Saccharomyces cerevisiae S288C: one gene and its partner. Changing the gene in region 1 together with any one later gene gives a genetic interaction. Each region holds a gene or a part of one and is shown in the gene's direction. Other genes may lie near its edges.

The links. A genetic interaction does not mean that the proteins touch.
Region 2: mutations in GPI16 (region 1) and DFG5 together harm fitness more than expected from each alone (negative genetic interaction), as found in Saccharomyces cerevisiae (2 studies listed by BioGRID).

What each region holds. Positions count from the first base shown.
Region 1 is NC_001140.6:481,678-485,435, reverse strand, and holds GPI16 (GPI-anchor transamidase subunit GPI16), read left to right. Parts: upstream 1-1,598; coding exon 1,599-3,431; downstream 3,432-3,758. Other genes in the region: ERG9 (bifunctional farnesyl-diphosphate farnesyltransferase/squalene synthase), read right to left, coding at 1-591; PTH1 (aminoacyl-tRNA hydrolase), read right to left, coding at 836-1,408; Elongator subunit IKI1, read right to left, coding at 3,517-3,758. UniProt on the Saccharomyces cerevisiae protein: Component of the GPI transamidase complex. Involved in transfer of GPI to proteins.
Region 2 is NC_001145.3:744,531-748,288, forward strand, and holds DFG5 (putative mannan endo-1,6-alpha-mannosidase), read left to right. Parts: upstream 1-1,822; coding exon 1,823-3,199; downstream 3,200-3,758. Other genes in the region: BCH1 (exomer complex subunit), read left to right, coding at 1-1,393; RNT1 (ribonuclease III), read right to left, coding at 3,732-3,758. UniProt on the Saccharomyces cerevisiae protein: Required for normal synthesis of the cell wall.

The sequences.
Region 1 (3,758 bases):
GGCAATGACAATCAAACGGGTCAAACCATCACCGACCAAACCAGCTACGTAGTGACAGTACACGTCGTAGTCGTGGACGGTTTGCAACCCATTCAAGTTGTAATTTTCATCTAAGATGTAGTCGGCCATACCATTACCCATTTTCTCGGTGATCTCCTTGATGACTTCTTGATATTCTGGTTTCAATTTGTGGAATTCAATAAGAATCGATTCGAAATCTGTCAAAACGGCTCTGTCCTTCACATCGGGGGCATTTCCGTCGAAACTCCATTTAGTTAACAACAATTTCTCGTGGAAGTGACGCAACAAGTCAATTTTCAAATCGTGTTCGATGGACATATCGTCTTCGATGGTATCCAAAGCCCTTAAAATCAAATAAAAGAGAGTAACACAGTTTCTCAATTCTGGATGCAGCTCTCTGATCACAGCAGCAAACGATCTGGAGGTCAAGTTCAACAGTTCGAAACAGTGCAAGAGATATGGAGACGTGGACTGATCATAGATGGAGAATAGCGGTGTTCTGCAAAACTTCAGCTTCAAAGCTGCCTTCATCTCGACCGGATGCAATGCCAATTGTAATAGCTTTCCCATTGTGTGTGTGTGATATGTGACGTGTATACGTTTTCCGCTTCTGCTCTTCGTCTTTTCTCTTCTTCTGTGCTCTTATTCTTTGCCCCTGTCCTAACTTTCCATTTATATAGCCCGTGGTCGTGTTCTCGCTGCTCGTTTAGGCACTAAACCCAAAACCGATAACGCCTTCCGATGCAAAGTGCAGTGGAAAAGAAAAAGGGCAAAGCAAATAGGATGGTAAGTCGGTATTGTTGTTGAAGATGGGCTATGAAATGTACTGAGTCAGAGCACGCCAGGCAGCAGGTTCACTCTGTGTAAGCAAGGTTTGTAGTTCCTGCGGAGTTAGAGCTCCCAGAACCCACCGGGACACGCTCGCAGGGTCTCTAGAACGGGACCCAGGTTCTCTGCCGATTCCAATAGCCAATTTGGCAAAGGGTACACGGCCTCCACTGCATTTTAGCAGGCTTCGCAGCCCATTATGACCTCTAATACTGGTGCTGGGGGCTCTGAGCTGCACTTTTCCACACGCCACACTTAACTCGTCATGAATAACTACGTGTCGGGCTTGGTACTTGGCGTACCGGGCCCAGACCTTGCACACCTGTTCTCCACTTAGATTCATGTACTGGCCATCCGATCTTAGTATCGTACAATGTTCGTCTTCTATATAATGCACTTTGCCGCCCGTATTAGGCACAGGGGAATAAGTTCTCCCCTGCAGACCAAGCCGCTTTCGTAGCAGCTCCAGCATATATAGCCCTACATTGTGACGGGTACCAGCGTACTGAGGCTCTGGATTGCCTATCCCGGTCAGCACTAGTCTCCATTTACCGGACATCTTCCTTATCTGCCTAGAGTCGACTTGTTCCTACCTACTATTTTGCATATTATAGGAATAGTTCGAGATTATTTGAAACCGCCGGACCTTTTTGCGCTGGGCGATCTTTTACACGTAGTTTTAGTAGCCAATAAGTAAAAGGAGAGCGGAAACAAGTGTTCAAAGCAAACAAAGCATAGGCAAGACGACGATGATCCTCACACTGGCCTATTTCATGCTGGGCACTCTACTACTGGGTGTGTTCGCAGAAGACACGGTGTCGCAGATTGGTATAAATGACAGTTTATGGTATCCGTACGACGAAGCACTGGTGTTGAAGCCGCTGCCCAACAATGATCTGCTACTCTCATTTGCATTCCAACTGCAATCGGAACCGTTTGACCCGGCCGTATCATCCATGTCATATGATGCGTATGAGCACTACACGACTTTCCCACGGGCCATCCCACCATTGTTGGAATCTACTGCCACGCGTCAGTTTCATTTAAGATTTACCAGAGGATTCTGGGATGCCCTGTCGTGGGGACAGTTGCCACATGCTGGAAAAGAGGCAGGTGCCTCAGGTGTGGAATTGTGGTCGCAAGTGCAGGCCATGGATCAGGAACAGGCGTTCCATAATTGGAAAAAACTGTCCAATTCATTGAGCGGATTGTTTTGTTCTTCTTTAAATTTTATCGACGAGTCAAGGACGACCTTTCCCCGGCGGTCATATGCTTCTGATATAGGAGCTCCTCTTTTCAATAGCACCGAGAAACTGTACCTGATGCGAGCATCGTTGCCCAATGAACCCATCTGTACCGAGAACTTGACGCCGTTCATAAAACTATTGCCTACTAGGGGCAAATCCGGTTTGACATCTCTCTTGGATGGTCATAAATTGTTCGACTCTCTATGGAATAGTATTTCCTTGGATATTGCCACTATTTGTTCTGAAGATGAAGATGCTCTTTGTCACTACGAGATGGACGCACGCATAGAAATGGTAACACACGTTCCCTCCGCCTTGGCAAGAGGTGAGAGACCTATCCCCAAACCTTTGGATGGGAACACATTGCGTTGTGACACGGATAAACCCTTTGATTCTTACCAATGCTTCCCTCTACCGGAACCTTCGCAGACTCACTTCAAGCTGTCTCAGCTGTTTGCCAGACCAATAAACAATGGCAACCTGTTTGCTAATAGGCCCACAAGAATTTGTGCAGAAGTTGACCGTTCTACCTGGACTGCGTTTTTGTCAGTTGACGATACTATTTTCAGCACACATGATAATTGCTTTGACTTATCAAACGATCAAAATGAGGGTGGTTCGGGCTACGACTTTATTTTAGAATCGACGGACACTACTAAAGTTACTCCCATAGTTCCTGTCCCAATTCACGTAAGCAGATCTCTGACTGGTAATGGACAAGATCGTGGTGGAATGCGTATTGTTTTCCATAACGACAATGATACCCCTGTGAAGTTGATTTATTTCGAATCATTGCCATGGTTCATGAGAGTTTACCTATCCTCTCTTCAAATTACTTCTACTACCTCTCCGCAATTGCAAGAAAACGATATCATCTTAGATAAATACTATTTACAAGCGGCCGATAGAAAAAGACCTGGCCACTTGGAGTTCACGATGTTAATTCCAGCTAATACGGACATTGTAATGACTTATCAATTCGATAAAGCTCTTCTGCAATTTGCCGAGTATCCACCAGATGCAAACCATGGTTTTGAAATCGATGCAGCTGTAATCACCGTGCTATCTTTGGAGTCCTCATCGTCTCTTTATGAAATGAGAACCTCTACCCTATTGTTATCCCTGTCTACACCGGATTTTAGTATGCCGTATAACGTCATCATTCTAACATCTACAATCATGGGACTCATATTCGGTATGCTATACAATTTGATGGTGAAGAGAATGGTCACCGTCGAAGAGGCCGATAAGATTACGTTGCAATCTGGCTTAAAATACAAATTGCTAAAGCTAAAGGAAAAGTTCCTAGGGAAAAAAAAGACTAAAACAGACTAACAATCTAGCATCTAGATATGTGTATGAAGTATACGTAGTTTACATAATCTGGAAGCACTCACTATTTACCATCAGTTTCTACTTTTTAAAAGGGATCCTCATATGGATCCTCTTCATCATAATCGTCATCCTTTTCGTACTCATAAACAATAGCACCCCCTTGTCCAAAGCTTTGTGCCTCCAGAAAAGGCAATGCGACTTGATCTTTGGCCAGCTTCTGTTTGTTGGATGTTCCTAGGTTGAATGTTGTTAATCCTTGCAACATTTCGGGTGTCTCCAGTCCGTTACTACTGCTCTCCTCTTCTTGCTTAGTGGTTGATAATAATT
Region 2 (3,758 bases), on another chromosome or scaffold:
TTTAAATCCCTCGTTAACCAATAATTATTTAGTGGAAACTTTAGTGGAAATAGTTAGGTTAACTAAGAGTTTGGAAGCATGTCGTAAAATGCTCAAGAAGTTAATAGAAATTCATCCAGAAGCAGTAATAATATTAATTCGTGTTTATTTTGCGTGCGATTTAGAGATAGATGCAGTTGACCTGATCAACGAGCAACTAAATTCCCCCTCTTCGTTCTTAGCCGACGATTCAAAGACTAGCCATATCCAGCTAATCTTCAAATCCGAATTATTAAGTATTCAAAGTGAATTCTTACTGGATGTCAAGAGAGATTACAAGCTTGCTAAGGAAGTAGCCATGGAGGCTGTTAACTGTGCACCAAACGAATTTAAAACTTGGTATTTATTGACTAGAATATACATTAAACTAAACGATATGTCAAATGCCTTGCTATCGTTAAACGCCTGCCCCATGTCACAGGTTAAGGAAAAATACGTTCTTAGAAGAATTGCGCCTATTACTTCAGATGAAAATCTTCATCTGCCATTACCATTGGATGCCTCAATTGAGGAGATTTCGTCATTGAACCCCATGGATGTCCAGTTGGAGCAAAAGTCCGCAGATCCAAACCTAGTCAATCTCTCTGCGTCAAGTTTAAAGTCTACTTTCCAACTAGCCTATAAATTATTGACAGAAATTGTCCAAATAACAGGATGGGAGCAGCTGTTGAAATATAGATCAAAAATTTTCGTTATGGAAGACGAGTACCAAGGCTCCACTTCTTCCATTGATGAAGCAGAAGTTCGCGGTAATGATATATCCAAAATGAGATCAAAGAGGCTATGCGAAAGATGGTTGGATAATCTCTTCATGTTACTATACGAAGATTTGAAAACTTACACCGATTGGCAATCAGAGCAATTGTATTTTGATGCTCAAAACAGTAAATATCACAAATTAACTGTTGAATGGGAATTATTCGGCCTTTGTGCGAAAAGACTGGGACATCTTCCAGAAGCTGCGAAGGCTTTCCAAATTGGGCTTTCCCAAAGATTTTCTCCAGTATGCGCAAAGAATCTATTACAGTTTTACATTGACGAGCATAAGCGTATTAGGAGGGATTCAGTCTCAGCAAACTCCGAGTTAACCTCTTCTCAAATATTGTCAAGTATCAATGACATCGACAGCTCAATCATCGATCTAGTAGTCAAGATTTGTTGCTGGAATCATCGTTGGTACATCGAGTTCTCAATAATATTAATAGATGCTCTGAGTGTTGCAGTACAAGATATGGGCATTACTAAAGTACATAATGAAATTGCCTCTAGATTTTCTGACCCAGTAGCCCAATTGATTGACGATAACATTCTAAATTTTCTGAAGAATTTCACGAATGACACTTTCGATAATTAGAAAAAGATGAATACAATCAATAAAAAGGTGAAAGAAATCAATTAACAAGAAACGGGTTATGTATTTTATGTATGATATCCTGGCATTGTCATGTATAGGTCACCTTCTTGGGGAATTTCCCATTTTCAAGTTATTCTGCCTCTAATGCGATAACCGTAATCTTAAATTGTTTAATTTCTTTTTCACAATCTGAGCCACGCCCGAAAAAAAAACAATGTAATCCGCGTAAAGCGAAACTGAGTATAACCCAAAAATAGAATGTAAATTAATGAAAAGCCCATTTCTCCAAAAGATCAGCTTTACTCAAATATCTAATTAAGTAATTGACTGTGTACATTGTCCTTTATCTCATTTTGAATCACCTTTATTAATTTTTGGTTGTTATATAGGACGAACAAATTAGAACGAAATCATATCCAGAACGCAGATATGATCGTCAATATTAGTGCGAAGATGATCTTATCGATATGCTTTACGTTTCTGTCATTTTTTAAAGCCACTCATGCCATGGATTTGGATACTACTAGCAAAACGTCAATTTGTGATGCGACAGCGTTAATTCAAGGTGGTATGCTGGATTACTATGAGGGTACTAGATACGGTGGTACCGTTGGGATGTTTCAGTCACCATACTATTGGTGGCATGCAGGGGAAGCATTTGGTGGCATGTTGGAAAATTGGTTTCTTTGTGAGAATGATACATATCAAGAATTACTATACGATGCACTATTAGCGCAAACTGGTTCCAATTACGATTATATCCCGTCCAACCAAACGATGGTTGAGGGGAATGATGACCAAGGTATTTGGGGTATTACTGTTATGGGTGCTGTCGAGAGAAATTTTACAGACCCCGGTGACGGCAAGCCAGGTTGGTTGGCAATGGTACAAGCTGTTTTCAACACCATGTACTCAAGATGGGATTCAGAGCACTGTGGCGGTGGTCTGAGATGGCAAATTTTCACTTGGAATAGTGGTTATAATTATAAAAATACAGTTTCAAATGCATGTTTGTTCCAGATTGCGGCGAGGTTGGGCAGATATACTGGTAACACTACATATTTGGAGGTTGCTGAACAGGTTTTCGACTGGCTAGTGGATGTCGGGTATGTGGTTCTTAACGATACTGCAAATGTCTTTGATGGTGCTGAAATTGATACAAATTGCACTGATATTACAAAAATTGAATGGACTTATAATCACGGTATCGTGCTTGGTGGTCTTGCATACATGTATAATGCTACAAATGGAACAGGTGAATGGGAGACCAGTTTGACAAAAATTCTAAATGGTGCTAAATCTTATTTCTTCAAAGATAGTATTATGTACGAAAGCGCTTGTCAAGACTATGGCACCTGTAACACCGATCAAAGAACATTCAAAAGTATTTTTTCTCGTATGCTTGGTCTTACAAGTGTCATGGCTCCCTTTACTAGGGACACAATTGATGATTTGATAAAAACAAGTGCTGAGGCCGCTGCAAAATCATGTAATGGTGGTACAGATGGGCATACATGTGGTTTAAATTGGCAGAAACAAACCAATGATGGCTACTATGGATTAGGTGAGCAAATGAGTGCTCTAGAAGTTATTCAAAATCTTTTAATTCATGACAGGCCAGCTCCATATAAGGAAGATAATGGCGGTACGTCAAAAGGTGACGCGAATGCCGGTATGAACTCATCGACCACTAACGTGCTACAAAACAATTTAAACATTAAGAAAGGTGATCGCGCTGGTGCCGCTATCATCACAGCAGTCATACTGAGTGTGCTAACTGGTGGGGCTGTGTGGATGCTGTTTTAAATGTGTCAAACTAGGCTCAAAAAAATTTTATTGTATTCTAATATTTAGGCTATCCTTTTCTTTCAGTAAAAATGTTTATGTGCTACATACAAAACCCTTCATGATCAAAAACTGATTAAAATTTAGAGAGGAACAATTGTTTTTAAAAAAAATACTAAAAAACACTCACGATGGGGGTCGAACCCATAATCTTCTGATTAGAAGTCAGACGCGTTGCCATTACGCCACGCGAGCTAGTCATATGTTTCTTTCGTCTTTTTCATCTGATGACATTCTAGTGGAACATTTATGGTAAGATACCGATTCCATTTTAAGGATTTCTATACCCTCGAGGAGAACTTCTAGTACATACATAATTTTATAGCTTTGACCAACAATGGAATCCCAAAAATTATCAAATTTTTTATCAAATATTCAAATATATCAAATATTCTAATGTTTTATAAACGTTTTATGAATGACATATATGCGATAATTATATGGCTAAAGAAAATCAATGCAAGTTCCATCATGGTTGTGTAAAAGGAACGTTTCAGCTTGTATCTGAGAATTTTCTTTT